2 linked regions of the Lonchura striata genome follow. The protein of the gene in region 1 interacts with the protein of each later gene in a biochemical or structural test. Links are inferred from orthologs where the notes say so. Each region holds a gene or a part of one and is shown on either strand. Other genes may lie near its edges. The genes, in order: AP1G1 and SYNRG.

The links.
Region 2: the proteins of AP1G1 (region 1) and SYNRG form a complex in vitro, tested with the Homo sapiens proteins (2 studies listed by BioGRID). The link is inferred for Lonchura striata from reciprocal best matches to the Homo sapiens genes AP1G1 and SYNRG.

Annotation. Positions count from the first base shown.
Region 1 is NC_134615.1:23,780,736-23,788,498, forward strand, and holds the start of AP1G1 (AP-1 complex subunit gamma-1), read left to right. Parts: upstream 1-4,644; 5' UTR 4,645-4,757; intron 4,758-7,763. Other genes in the region: ATXN1L (ataxin-1-like), read right to left, coding at 1,145-3,211. UniProt on the Homo sapiens protein: Subunit of clathrin-associated adaptor protein complex 1 that plays a role in protein sorting in the late-Golgi/trans-Golgi network (TGN) and/or endosomes.
Region 2 is NC_134622.1:10,561,200-10,568,859, forward strand, and holds the start of SYNRG (synergin gamma), read right to left. Parts: upstream 3,122-7,660; 5' UTR 2,956-3,121; intron 2,855-2,955; 5' UTR 2,851-2,854; coding exon 2,814-2,850; intron 1,408-2,813; coding exon 1,289-1,407; intron 79-1,288; coding exon 1-78. UniProt on the Homo sapiens protein: Plays a role in endocytosis and/or membrane trafficking at the trans-Golgi network (TGN). May act by linking the adapter protein complex AP-1 to other proteins. Component of clathrin-coated vesicles.

The sequences.
Region 1 (7,763 bases):
AATCATAGAATTGTACTTAGCACAAATTTTGTACCTTGTCTGCATGTGCACAAACACTTCGTCTCTTGTATAGAGCTTATTCAAGAAACTGCCTGCAGGGAAGAACTAGCCATCTGGAACATTTTTCTGACTTAATAACAAAATAGCATTGGTCTTCTCACAGAAGAAGGATGTTTTCAACCTTCTCTAGAGAATGTTGAATGTATTTTGCTCCAGATTAAAAAAAAAAAAAAAAAAAAAAAAACAAACCAAACCAATAAAATATCCAAAATCAAAATTTGACCAAACAAAAAAATCCAACCCCATTCATCCCTCGGTTAACCTCTGCAAAAGCTATAAGCCCAGGAGGGTTTTTTGGAAGTTATTAACATAGGAAGAAAGATTTGATTTGGTGGCAAAACAACTAAGTAGAGTTTACAGCAGGAAACAATGTCTCCCATCCCAACTTGTGTCCCATCTCAAGTGCTCAAGTTCCCTATTCACCTGCACCCAAGCCCATCCTTTTGGTCCTTCCTCTTGAATTTATGTGATTCATTCAAATCTGTACATTCTTTGCAAGAAGAAAGAGTAGTTGGATTCAGTGGAAGAGACATTAATCAGAACCACCAGAGAAGCACCTCCATCCTGCCCTTGAGAGCTCCATCGGTGAACGGTCCTTTTAAAGTGCATGTGTGAAGAAAGGGGATGCTGGGAGTAGAGCCCCCAAACTCCAGGGGGGACCCATATCTCCCCATCATGAGAAAGGAGAAATAAAATCTTCAGCAATTTTATCTGCTACCTTAAGACAAGTCTGCCCTCCTCATCTCCCTACCTGCCCCAAATGCTCAGCCCCTGCCCCGCAGGGAGTCAGTTATCCCAGGAAGTGGGAGAAAGCCCCAGCCTCCAGCAGCCTGTGGAATGCTCTCATCACACACTCATGACCACATCCCTGCTCCCCACCCCAGCTAGCCTGTCGCTGCTCCCTGAGGCACTGAAGGCCTCCTGACTCCCCAGGAGCAACTGGTCAGCCATGGAACTGGAATGGAGCTATTCCTGCAAGGCAGAAAGCAGCCTTTGTTGGTGAGCCTCTGACAGTCTGTGCAATTCCTCTACCTGATGGTGAGGCTCGCTTGCTGTGGCTGCCCTAGCTCACACCTCTAAGGGATCATTTCCCTGCATTCGAACGCCCTTCAATAGACAGCTTGACCTCCTGGGGAATGAAAGAGGGACGGAGCAGAGAGGGCCGAGGCTCCTCTGCCTGCACGCTGTATCTTTGGAAGCCTGGGGCCAAACTGTACAGATTGCCAGCCTCAGACTGAGAAGATTCTGCATGGGAGCTCTGAGCCGTGCTGGTTCTATCTGTGTGGCTCTTCCTTTCACCAGCTCTGTCACATGGCTCTCTGGGCCCCTGGGCTGTTCGTTCCAATCTCTCCCTAGCAGATACCAGCTGATCCATGAGAGGGGAGTTGGCCTGAGAAGCAGAGTTGCCATTCATGCTCTGTAAACTGATTGATATGCATACATCCCCCACTTGCAGCCTGTGACAGGGTAAAGCAAAGAGCTGAGCAGTCCTCCCGGGGCTGCAGGAGGACCAGCCCTGGCCATACACAAAGAAGGGATGCTCCGGGGGCACATCAATGCTCACTTTACTTTGTTGCTCCCCAACCACAAAATGCAGTGTGACAAGCCCAGGCCACTGGCTTTCCTGAATATCCACCACAGTGCTGGAGTCGATCTTCAGGCCTCCACTCACCTCCGCACTGCGAACAAAGTCTTGAGTCTGCAGGTCCTCCACCCGCTTCAGCTCTCCCGTCGCCAGCTGGATGATGGCTCCTTTCATGAAGTGAGAGGGCAGTTGTGAGGAACTGGGTGGCTGCAACTGGGCCAGCTCCTTTTCAAGCACATATCCTCGAGCCTGTGCATCTGGGCTTTCCCTCAGCAGGACTTCTGAAGTGGAAGACCTGACGGGCTCAGATCCAACGGGAACAAGTACTGGCTTGCCATTGGCTATCACCATTCCTTTGGCTAACTGTCTCTGTCTAGCAGTCTCTTCGGGGGACATTCCACATGGGCTCTGGGACTGGCTGTTCCCAGCTGCAGCCCTATCTGTGGTGTTCCTCAGCATGTCTCCCTGCCCATCAGTGGTATTATGGCAAAGATTTAAAGGGCTTGGGTCATCTTTCCTCTGGGCTGCCAGAACATGATAATCCTGAGATGCCAACACCCCCACCACTCTCTGAACCTCCAGATCAGCGTCTGGGGTGCTCCTGTGAGTAGGCACAGAGATCTCTCTTCCCAGCATCTGGTGACCTGGAAGGAACTGTCCATCACCCATAGATCCTGCTGCAGCCCCTGGGGGCAGACAGTCCTCAGCTGCACTGCTGGCAGAGTCCACAGCCTCGTTGGGCCTCCTGGCCACACTTTGCTCCAGGGGCCTCTGCCCACCATTGGCCGCAGCCACCTCTGAGCTCAGCTGACTGTCTTGCTGAGGAGAGTCTGGGTTCCCACCTGCTACAGGTGCCTCATAGGCTGAATAGCCTGGTGGGAGGCGGGACATCTGATAATAAACAGGAATCCTCCCCGGTGGCATGTCCACTGGTTGGGACGCAGTGTGGTGCTGCATCTGCCCAGGAGAGGCTGCAGAGGTGGATTTGTTGAAGCTGTGGGTAGGAGAGGTAGTCTGGGAGGAAGGAGCAGCTTCTTCTGTGAACAGGGAGGCATATGGAACAAAGTGGGGGACATGGGGGGCACTGAGGTTTGTGGAAGGAGACAGGAGAGGACTAGGCATGAAGGCAGGAGGGACGGCATAGGGCACTGTGTAGGGGGAACCAATGAGCTGCAGGGAAGCCGAAGGGATCTGTGCATAGTGGATGGAGGGGAAGGGCACCGCCGGGTGCTGGATGATGGGCGAGGTCACGCTGAAGGCTGGGGGCAGGGGGCTCACGTTCACCACGGGGTGCAGGCCCGTGGGGGAGAAGGTGGCAGGCGGTGCTGCCACTTTGTAGAGCATCCCGTATTGGTCCACCGTCAGCCCCGCTGCTGCCTCGGGGGCCTCGCCGGGACCGTAGCGCGGTGTGGCGGGAGCCGGGCGAGCCGTGCGAGCCCACTCGGGGCCCGAGCCCGAGCCCTGGGCTCCCCCGGCCCGTCCCGCCTCGGTGCCAGTGTTGGCGGCGGCAAGTTCTCGCTTCTTGGGCGGGAGACACTCCTGGCTGCGCTCCTGGCCCGCTCTCATGGCGCCCTGCGGTGTCCCGGCAGCCCCGGCCGCGCCGCTCGTTCATGGGGGCACCCACTGGGGTTGCCACGCGCGGGCTCCGGGATCCGCGCCGCCGGCCGCCGCCTCACCTGTGCCGGGAACAGAGGGAGCCGTGAGTCCAGGCCTCGGGAAGGGGAGGTGGCCCGAACCCCGGCCCCGGGAACGGCCACGGCGACGGCCGCTGGCCCCGGTGCGGGACGCGAGGACGGAAGACGCCCGAGCCCGGTCGCCGCCCCCAACCCCGGCCCCAAAACCGCGGCCGCGCTACCGCGCACCCCGCCCCGTAGCGTCCTGCGGGCCCGCCTGGTGCTCGCCCGGTGCCCGCGGCTCACCCGCCATGGCCCGGACCGGCCCCGCGGGCTCGCCCGGTGCCCGCCCGGTACCCGCGGCTCACCCGCCATGGCCTGGACCGGCCCCGCGGGCTCGCCCGGTTCCCGCCCGGTGCCCGCCCGGTGCCCGTGGCTCACCCGCCATGGCCTGGACCGGCCCCGCGGGCCCGCCCGGCGCCCGGACCGGCTCCTCCCCGCCCGTGGCGCACGGCGATGACGCGTCTCATGGCAATGACGCGCACGCCGAACGCCGGAACTGCTCGGTAGGCGTGGCTCCGCCGCGCCGGATGGCGTCCCGGGGCACGCGCAGCGCCGTTGCCGTGGCAACCAGCCGCGTCCGCCCGGAGCTGAGCTCGACCCGCGAGCCGCGCCCGCCCGGCCCCAGCGCAGGCGCCTGGCGGCAGCGCCGCGCGGCTGTTGTTGGCCCCGCGCCCCGGACCGGATCGCTCCGCGGTTGGCTGGCAGCGAGGGCCCAGCGGCAGCGTGGCCCGGCTCCCCTGCAGGAGCCTTCGGTCTGAACGTGCCCGTGCCCTGTCTCGCACCCCCGCAGTGTCCAGCTGGCCCCGTGCTGCCGACCGGGCTCCGCGGGGGCAGCTACTCGTCATTCGATAATCGTTAATGTGGCATAAGGTCCTGGAAGCGGGAACAGAATAGCTGCCTGGGGCGGGGGTGGCTCTGTATCCCCTTCCAGAGCTGCCTCGTTTCCTGCGGCGCCCTGCGTTCACCCCGCCGCCGCTGGACGTTTCAACAGTGCAAGGTTCGGCGAACTGGGAGCGGCTTGGCCCCTCGGAACCCCTCGATCCCGGAACCGCGGACACGGGCGGCGGGTCCCGCCCGGCCCCGGCATGGGGAGCGCGCGTGCCGGGACCGCCCCGCGCATGACGTCATCAGGGAATGCCACGGTGCAGACGCAAGTTTTCGTATAAGACCTCACGGGTGCTTCCGCCAAGAAAAGTAGTGCAAGCGGTATTTTCGGTCCCGCCACCGCCTCTACTGTACCACACTCTCGCCATCCCCGCCCCGTTCCCGCCGAACTCGGCGCGGCCGCGCTCGCACCCGCGGTCGGCAGAGCCTGCGGAGTCGCGGGGAGCGAGTCGGCCTGGATCCCTCCGCCTGCGGTATCGGTGCTGCGGCCGCGCCGCCGCCATTTTGAATGCCCGGCTCTATCCGCCGCCACCGCTGCAGGGACCGGCCTGGTGAGTGGGACCGGCTCGGGTCTTTGCTGCCCCGCCGGGCTTCCCCTGACCTCCGGGTCTCGCCGCCTGGGGCCTGCGAGTCCTGGGGCCTCTCTCCGCCCCGAGCTCCGCCGCTGGGCCTCGGCTGCTCTGTCCGCGAGGCCGCCCCCTGCCCTCCCGCCGCCTCTGTCGGCGCCGCTGTCTCTGCCTGGCGCTCCGGCCCGCTTCCAACTCTCCCCTGCGCCCCGGGGCCTCCTGCTCGGGTGTGGGAGCGGTCCGTGCGTGCCCTAGCCATTCTTTGCCGGAGAGACGGCGGTGCAGCCCTGCCTCGGCCCCCGTGCCCGGAGGTCGGGCAGCGGCAGCAGTAGCGCGTACCTCAAGAGCGGTTCGTGCTGTGGCCCGCTGCCGTCCTGGCAGAAGTCGGGACTTGTGCTCGGCCTTCCCCTCGCTATATGATTGCCTAGGCTGCACAAGCGCTCCGAATATTGCAGCGTCTGCATTACTTCCCGGTTATGGGTTTTAATGGAAGCAGGAGATTTTCGGTCTGGCTCAAGGTATTTGCAGTGAGCTGCTATGGCCGGTCTCTAAGGGCGCCTTCAAGTCCCTTCTTCAAGGCTGGCTGAGCTCTCGCACGAGCTATAAGATAAATTGTAGTTTATTTTATAGTAGACACTGTTTTTAAAGTTAACAGATGGAACAGGTGTGTGTTTTATTGTGTTGAAAGTGATGTGTAAAAATGTTGAGCGACAAATTTCAGTTTCTGATGCTTGAAATATTAATGGGACAGTGCAGAATCCCAGTGGAAGATCTTTGAAAGGTTAACAGTGTCACATGTGTGGCCAAAAGGTGTTTGGTCCATAGTGGCTTAAACAGTAAAATATAGTGTGTTTTCCCCTGTAAATGCAGGGGAATCTTTTAGGGATGCTCCTAGCATCCTACATTTAAAATGGCAGAGAAATTTGTGCTGTTTTGTTTCCCTGTTGTTTTTTTGTGTAGTAGAGCACAATAGCTTTTTGTACCCATTTCCCTGCTACCTCTCCTCTAAACTACACTTGGGATTTTTTTCCTTTGTTTGTTTGTATATCAAATTCTTGTCATTTGTTGCCAGATTCTTTCATCTGTTTACTTGTGTGCTCTCTGGTGTTTGGCACAGGATTTGAAAACTTGAGTACTTGTTGGGTATTCAAGAGCTGAATGAAGGCAGGAGATTTTGTGGGTTTTTTTCTGAGGAGGTTGGTGTGAACCCTTCCATTCTACTGTGCTGGGAGAAGGAGAGGAAAGGTATTAAAATTCCTGTTTCTTGAGAAGGGAAAAGTAAGTCTTGGGTTATTGTTTTGTGAGGGGATCCAGCTTTTGTGTTTCCAGTGTGTAGGATAGCTTTCATATTTTCTCCCTTTATGATTAAAAAAAAAACATTTTCTTCCTTTTTTGTTGTTTTTCTTTTCTGTTCCTGTGACTGCTGATGTGTTTTTCTGAGAGTGGCACGGTAGAGATGGAAAGATCGTGTAGTACCTTTGAAGTGTCCCGTGAGAGATTAGGGGATAACAGAAATGCTCTGATTGTTGGTGTAGTGCGTTTTGCAGTGGCCTCGCTGTGCATGAGATTAGTGAGTCTGTCAGGCCATGGTGTGAGAAGGTTGTGGACAGTGCACAGGAGTCCAAACTGGCTGTTCTCAGGCACACAGAGCCCACCCTAGTTAGCGCAGTTCAGGTTTGGAGCATCAGCTTTCCAAGTGTGTGGGCTCGTGTAAATCTTTACTGCTGCTAAAAGTGATGGCAGTCAGTAAAGCTGCTTGTGCCTCTCCAGAGTGAATATTTGTATTTGTGAGCTGGCCCTGTAGAACTGCAGGCCATGGGTTGTGTGATCTCATCACATTTTTTAATGATAGAACAATTTCTTCTGAATGCAGGTGATGCTAATTTGTCCTAGATGATACTCAGCTGTTCTTTGGGGAGAGGGTCTGTTCTGCTATGGTAAGAGCATTAGTTTACTGGAGGAGCATTTTGGAGTTAATAAGTAAATGTATGATCAGGCTGTAACTTAAAAAACAGAGCTACAGTAATGTGAGTACAAGTGAATCTGCTGATATCACAGGTATTAGTGCAGCCTGTATCTGCTATTTGGCAGAAATGCTACAAGTGAAATAAAAGATTAGAACTTTTTAGAGAACAGCTGAAGTTATGTGGCCTGTTGTAAAGTTCATATTAATTAATGTAAAAATCTTGTCTTTCCTCTGGCATTAGCAAGGACCTAGAAGGGTGTAGGGGTTTTTGTGACAAACTAGTGGCTTTTTAAAATTATTATTATTTAAAGTTTAACTCTGCAGGAAAGTGAACAGGAAGTAAAATAGCCAGAGTAGTTCACAGATTAAATTAAGGGGAAATTAGAAGCAGTTGATAAGATAATGTAGGTCAGTGGTGATTGAAGAAGCCAGAAAATCTTGAATTCTTCTTGAATCTGTCATGGTGATCAGCTGTATAGCTGTGCTAATTCTTCTTCCTACATTTTTTACCTTCTTAAAAAAATAGGGTGATATTTCTCTTCTTTTTTGGCAGTTGTTGAGGTTAATGTTTGTACTGACTGGGAGCTCAGTGTGAAGGCAGCTCAGGAGTTGCTGCGTTTGGTGTATGTGCACAGTTGTGCAGGAATGGGATACCTTATCTAAAGTGCTGACTTGTGCTCTGGGGCCATGCCTCAGTCAGCAGGGAGTGGGAAGGGGTCTGTAGTTGTTTGGCAGTGGGATTGGGTGGGATCTGTGCAATGTCCTCAGCCTCTGTCCTGCCTCTCCTCTTCCTCTCAACTCTTGAGTAGCACTGAGCCTTGCTTTTTAAATAATGTTGTGCTGCATTCCTTGTTGGTGGTTTGTTTTTTTTTTTTTCAATGTAACTGGAAGTGGGACCATCTCTTCAGGACTGTTTTTAGCTCTTGTTTTGGGATACTTTTTTTCTTATTTGACCTCCCCTGCTCTTCTCCAGCTGTCTCTGCATAAAGCAAAGTGTAACTCTAATGCCTTTTCTTATGTGACTG
Region 2 (7,660 bases), on another chromosome or scaffold:
CGGGCGCATTCCCAGGAAGGAGGCCTGGCCCATGTAGGGCATTCCAGCTGCTGGCATCGGCCCGAGGGCCATGCCACCCTGCAAGCAAACACAGCACACAGCTCCGGGGGGGGTTTTCAGCTCCAGTGTATTTTTTTTCCCTGTAGAAAAAGCCAAAGCACTGGCAGTGCCAATAAACGGAGCCTGGTGTTAGGGAGTGCTGGAGGAGCAGTGCCCTCAGTAGATGGCACTCTTCCTCTCCACAAGCGCTCAGCCTCACAGAATTCGGGAAAACTGTCAAAAACCAACTCTTCAAACCCAGCCTGCCCCAAGAGCAGCAAGGCTACAGCCGTCCCACACCACTCAGTACAGGATTTTTTGGGATTTTTGGTTCCTATTCTAAGGAATTTCATATTTTTATACCCCCTCCTACCAACCACAGATGCTGGAAAATGTGGTCTAGGCATTTCCCAGACATATCCAGGGAACCAACAATATATGACAACAGCCAAGAGGAGCTTGTCTGAATAAACCATATCAGAAGCATTTGCTGAGGAATATATTCTGGGACATCTAGAGCAGCAAAGCTGCCTAATATAGAAGGAGCCAGAAAATAATTATTTTTCTTGCCATTCATTTTGCATTTGGTCTCAGAACACGTAGGAAGAGAACAAAAGTTGTTTATTATTTTTAGACCAGCTCTCATAAAAACATCTTCCTACTATAAATTTTGCCAAAATAACATAATAAATTGCAGCTGGGGGAGGGAAGGGAGTGTAAGGAGATGGCAAAACAATAAATTCCATTTGTGACACGGCAATTTGGTTAGAAAGTCATGCAAAACATTGAATTTCAACAAAGTGCAAAACTGTACATAAGCATATATGGCGCTAAATAGAAAACAACAGATTAAAAGAGAGAAAATATAATATGATCTGCTCATATTTCATTCTTATTCCTCAATTAGCAACAGCAGCACTAAAGACAAAGTTACCTTGAGGAAAAAGAAAAATGATAGGACAGAGGGAAAGGCTGTAACCTGAAGGAGGGCAGGCTTAGATTGGATATTAGAGAGAAATTCGTCCCTGTGAGGGTGGTGAGGCCCTAGCACAGGGTGCCCACAGAGGTTGTGGACTCCCCATCCCTGGAAGCGGCCAAGGCCAGGCTGGATGGAGCTTGGAGCAGCCTGGGAGGGTGAAAGGTGTCCCTGCCCATGGCAGGGGGTGGAACTGGATGAGCTTTAATGGCCCTTTCAACCCAAACCAGCCTGGGGCTCTGCAGTTTCAGCCCACATTTCATTGCCACACACCTGCATGGCCATGGGTCCAGGAGGCATCTGAGAGCCATAATTCATTCCCATCATCCCTGGCATGTTGGTCTGCATGACAGGAACCATTGGAAACCCTTGCTGTTGCATAGGAATCATCCCTGCAATGAAACATTAAACAAGCTAAGAGCCCAGTTAATGTTAAAAGCTTTTTTTTTTTCCCTTCCCTAACCCTGCCTCTCCCATTTAATTGTTTTGGTTTTGGGGGTTTTTTTTTGTTTGTTTGTTTGGTTGGTTTTTTTTTGTTTTGTTTGGTTTTTTTGGTTTTTTTTTTTTGTTTACTAAACCAGCAAAGGAAAGTAAAAAAAATCTTGAGTTGAGCTGGACTGTTTAAAAATAAAAATAATAACATTTGCTACACTGCAGGCAGCCACAGAAATCTCCTTAGTTTAGACACTGGTCATTCTACAGGGAAAAATATTACAGGGCTTTTCAGTAACTAACCTGATGAATTATCCCACCATCCTAAAGATTCTCTGTGGGTTTTTTCCCATAAGATTTTTGGAAGGGTCATTTCCAATTAAAACTATTTAATTAACCAGAGTGACTGGTGCTGGTAATTCCTATTTCTCTTGAAACCAGCAGCTTCTGAAAATAAATCTTGGGAAATAAAGTCAACCTTTCACAAAGCAACTTCACACTCTGACCTGGCTGGGTAACTTGTCTGTAGGTTAATTAGCACACTTTAGGTTAATTAGCCCACTACATGTGTTAGAATGGTAACAATACTTGTCAGTAAAAGCTAAACATGCACAAAATTGGACAAATCAAGCTGGAATGTATTAATTCACTGAATAAAGCAAGTGTTATGTTTCAGCATCTTCCTCCCTCACATTTTGCTGTCTTGGGAGACAAACGCTAACATGCACTTGTTACCAGCACACCATGGAGATAATTATGCAAAAACACTCCAGGAGGGCATGACACAGGCAGGAATAATCCATGAATCAGTCCCTGCGATTTTAATAAAAAACTCTATTTTCCCCGTAAATTCTCTGCATATTTTCCCCTAATTAAACAAACAGCACTGCATCAGGAATGAGAACAAAGGCAATTTAAGGCTGAGGCTCTGCCATTGTATTAATACTTTCCACACAGGTTGTGACTCTTGTCCTGGGGTCTTGATGTGCTTTGTAAATATTTACCAGGTCTTGCAACACCCACACAGTATGGGTATACACAGCTGGGAGATGAAGCAAAGAGAGGTGAAATACCACACTCAAAATAACACCAGAGTCTAAAAGGCCAATTCAGGTTAAAAAGGGAGATGTAGTTTTCCTGGACCTTTAATCCAGATTCTGGTGGCGCTGCTTCAACAGCACACTGGAGGTTTTCCCAGCAGAGGAGTGAGAGTCATTTGAACAGAGCTGAATTCAAAAGGACAAAAACCAGCCATGGAGTTCAATTAATAATCACACCTCTGAACATCACTGCAGACCTGGTTTAGGTCTAATTTGTCTGAACAAAGTCAAGAACTTTGTGCTCAAAATGCGCAGCCGATACGTACCTTGAGGGGGGCCCAAACCACCTGCCACAGGAAACATGAAGCTGCAGGAGGAAAACGAGAGTATGTGAAATTCTGTCACTTTAGGGCAAATGGAAAATCCACCTCGACTTCCACGGCAGCACCACCACCAGGAGCCTCCCACCTTCTGGTCAGCACTTGCAGCTGCTCCTGCAGGTCCCCCAGAACCCAAGCCCATCCAAGGCAATGTTATCCCTCAGTGGGATCCCCCGAAGCACCCCACAGCGCCAGCACAGGCTGCAGAGCCAGGAAACGCAGATCTGATCCTCCCAGCAGCCCTGACACGGCTTTGACTCATCCACATCACCCACAAGAGACTCTCAGCACCCACACAGCTTGGGAACAGGTCAGTTTGTTGTGTGGGCTAAGCAGGGAATGAATAACCATCTCCTCTTGGAAGTATCTGACTCAGCAGGACCACCAGAGAACACTTCTCAGCTGCTTAGGAACAGCTTTTCTGAAGAAAAATAAACTATCCACAAAACTCCATTACTTTTCCCCTTCCCCTTTTAGAAACACTAAGTATCACAAAATAATAGAGTTTCTATTTTCTCAGTTGTCTAATTACAACAAAAATAGCATCTTGGAGAAAACATTCATTCACATATCAAGGGTCAAGTGCACCTAGAGGAAGAACCATTAAAATTTCAACTAAAATCCTAATGGAAATTGCTAGCCCTCACTCTGAAACAGCTGCCAAACAGTAAAAAAGGGCCTAGTTTAAAATTCTCATCTGCAAGCAACTTGCAGAAACCCACGTCAGCAGCAATTTCCCAAACAAGAACCTCACTCAGTGTCCCAGGCAGTTATTACATCAAAGTGCTGTGGAAGAGAAACACACTTATAGATATTCAATGTTCAATTCCAAGGGTGGATGTAAAAGAAACTGTCGAAGAGTACAAGAGAAAATGCCATCAGAAATGGCTGCAGGAAGTCCTGAAAGCCAACCTGGTTTATAAATATAAAAGAGCTGTGTAATATGAGCACTAAGATAAAATAAGGAATTTAAATTATGCATTTATCCAGGAGCAAATTGCACCTCCTCACTGTACAGGCAGCGGGTCACACGGTCACCAAGACCCATTTGCTCTTCACTTTATTCATGATCTTCATCATCTTGAAGCTTCTTCTTCAGCCCTGAGCATTGTGTGCTGATTTTGCCTTCCATAACTATCACACACCTGTGCTTCCCAATGGTCTAGTCTTGCCATCCTCCACCCCCACCATCTGGGGATCTCCCTCTGAAGAACTCTGCAGACTCAAACAGCTCAGCCCCAAACATGTGCAGGGCTTGATTCTCACCACAGCCAAGGTCTGTTTAACTCTATTCAGTCATTTAAATCCATTCCTTGGCATACAGTATCAACATGAAAACAAATAGACTTACTTTAGTCAGAATGATGAAATACTAAATGTAATTTCTGAAGATCTCCTAAGCATGTAGAAGTGTTCTAAGCTTCCTGCTTCCCTTCTGGTTGGGGAACCTGAACAACAAGAATTCTGAACCTGAACAACAAGAATTCTCCAAACCAGCAAATGCAATGTAAACTGAACAAGCGTCAGGAGGTACCACTGCTTGTTGGGAGCAAGTAGAGGCCAAACTATTAAATATTTATCCCTTTCTACACAGCTCCTGGTTTATTTATAAGTCTCTGCTGAAAAAAATAAAAAGAAACAATCAACCAAAAAACTCCCAGCTGATTAGAGGGCACTGCAAGATGAGCTAGTCCAAAGTAGAAAAGCAAGCTCTGGCAGCACAGCCCCGTCCGTATTCACTCCAGGATTCAGTGTGCAACTGCCAGCACCAGCCACACTGGCACAGCCACAAACCATTCCACCAATGGGAATTTATTACTGAACTGCTTTTTTGGAGATGCAGAATTGCCCAGAGCAATCAGTGAAAGCAGCTGGTTCTGTGGCTGAGGGAGCCAGCGAGGGGACCTGTGTGAGACCGCCTTGGGTACGCTGCACAAACACAGTAAAGAGAAGGGAACAAAGTGATCACCCTACAACAGACCTCCTAAAGCAGTACTAGAAATCTGTAGATTCCTACTACATGAGTATTTTAAATATGGAGCTTAAAAAAAACCACCAAGAAGCCCCAGACCAACCAAGCAAGAGCTTCAGCCAAAATGCAGGAGTGTGGGGAGAAGCAACACCTTTTCTGAACTGAAACTTTGCTGTAACAGCTCCAAACCACACAGAACGTTTTCCCATCTACAAGTGGATTTTTAAACCCCTTAATTCTCAAGCAGTACAACTCCATTGATGCAACAGACCGTCAGAGTATTTTTAAGTGGCAGAAATGTGCAAAAATTGAAGTGAAATCAGGCAAAGAACCCACACAGACACAGAACAGAACTTTCCCTCTACCTCCAGATTTTGTCCTCAGAGAAACCAAAATATTATCAATGGGCAATGGTGATTTGTAAATAATTTTATTTTTCAGAACCTTTATTTCTGAAACTGACAACAGTGACAACACTCCCAGTAACACTGACAAAACTGTGGGCTTTGGATATCCAAGACAACTCAATGAGGCTTAATTGTCAAATGCAAAATTTCCTCAGCCTCCCTGGAAGTAGGACAAGAGATAAACAGCAGATGAGAGCGTACATTGAAAAAAAACATTACTAGAGTCTTCAAAGGTAGTGAAATCCAGTTTTCCAAGCTTTACAGAAACACAACATCTCTTTTAACACTTTTTTTTTTTTTTCCTCCCAACAGGATTCCTCGGTCCTCCCTGTGGCCAAGGTGCCCTTTGTGAGAAGGAGGGGAAAAGGGAAGTCCCCAGGGAAGCTGGGTCCCAGGGAGGCCACAGCCAGACCTGACAGGGACATTTAATGCTGCCGACAGCGGCGGCACTGGCAGAATCCCCAAATCCTTCCCACCCCAATATCTGAGATTGCACCTGCAGAGCCTGACGGCAAGTGGGACACAACTGCCCAAGCCTGGACACACGGGGGGAAAAGAGCTGGGGATTCACCCCAAAAACGTGAATAAATCTTGGCAAAGCGCAGAGCTACCGTGGCTGCATTCCCAACAACACACCTGGGACCCCATGTACTCCACCCAGGACCCCACGTACTCCACCCAGGACCCCACTACATCCTGCCTGGAACACTGATGTTCCATCCACGATCACCGGTACTACACCTGAGCCCCATCCATCCTACCCCAAACCCCACAAAGCTCGCCTGACAACCCACGAACCCCACCTGGGACCCCACCCAAGACCCCACGAACCTCACCTGAGGCCCCACGTACCACACCTGCGACCCCCACACCCCACCCAGGATGCAGCACACCTGAGAGCCCACGCACCCAACCTGGGACCCCCAGGCCCCAGCCAGAAACCTCGCGCAGCGCACCTGGGCCCTGACTGACCCCAATCGCACCTGGACTCCGAGCCCCCAGCGCTCTCATCGCCCCCCATGCCGCCCCTCCCCGCGTGCCTCAATTCCCCATCACCGCCCCCGCTCTTTGTCCGCTGTGCCTCCACGCCCGCCGCTCGCGGTCGGCACCGACCTGGCGGCCCCGGCCGCTCCGCCGCCCGCCCCGCCGGCGCCCCCCGCGCCGGGCCCGGGCCGCAGCGCCATCTTCGCGCTCGGCCCCGCCGTCCGTCAGCGGAGCGGCGGCGGCGGCTTCCGGGGCCGGCCTGGGCAGGCGCCGCCCCCGGCCCCGCCGCTCCCCGTTACACGGTCCTGCGGGTGCGCGGCCCCACAGAGGCACGGCCCCTCGGGTGGACAGCCCCACAGAGACACGGCCCCACAGAGCCACGGCCCCTCAGATGGACAGCCCCACAGAGCCACGGCCCACAGAGCCACGGCCCACAGAGGCACGGCCCCTCGGGTGGACAGCCCCACAGAGACACGGCCCCACAGAGCCACGGCCCCACAGAGGCACGGCCCCACAGAGCCACGGCCCCTCAGATGGACAGCCCCACAGAGGCACGGCCCCACAGAGCCACGGCCCCACAGAGACACGGCCCCTCAGATGGACAGCCCCACAGAGGCACGGCCCCACAGAGCCACGGCCCCACAGAGCCACGGCCCACAGAGACACGGCCCCACAGAGACACGGCCCCACAGAGACACGGCCCCACAGGGCCATGGCCCCACAGAGACACGGCCCCACAGAGCCACGGCCCACAGAGACACGGCCCCACAGAGACACGGCCCCACAGAGACACGGCCCCACAGGGCCATGGCCCCACAGAGACACGGCCCCACAGAGCCACGGCCCCACAGAGCCACGGCCCCACAGAGACACGGCCCCTCGGTGTCTCCGTTCCACGGCCCCACAAAGCCACAGCCCTTCAGTTCCTCCGTTCCACAGCCCCACATCCTCTCAGTTCCTCAGCCCCACATCCCCTCAGCCCCACACCCCCTCGATTCCTCAGGCCCACATCCCTTCAGCCCCACATCCCCTCAATTCCTCAGCTCCACATCCCATTAGTTCCCCAGCTCCACATCCCCTCAGTTTCTCGATTCCTCAGCCCCATAGCCCCTCGGTTCTTCAGCCCCTCAGCCCCATATCCCCACATCCCCTTGGTTCCTCAGCCCCACATCCCTTCAGCCTCTCAGCCCCATAGCCGCAGTTCTTCAGCCCCACACCCCCTCGATTCCTCTGCTCCACATCCCTTCAGCCCCACATCCCCTCGGTTCCTCAGCTCCACAACCCCATGGCCACCCGAGAACAGCCTGGATGGGGATGAGTGGCCCCTCGTTCCCCCGGGAACGCCGGTTTCCAGCATCCAAATCACTGCTTTTCCATAAAAAGGAAAAGAAAGTGCCGCCTTTGAGCCCAACCTCCCCCTGGGGTCACCC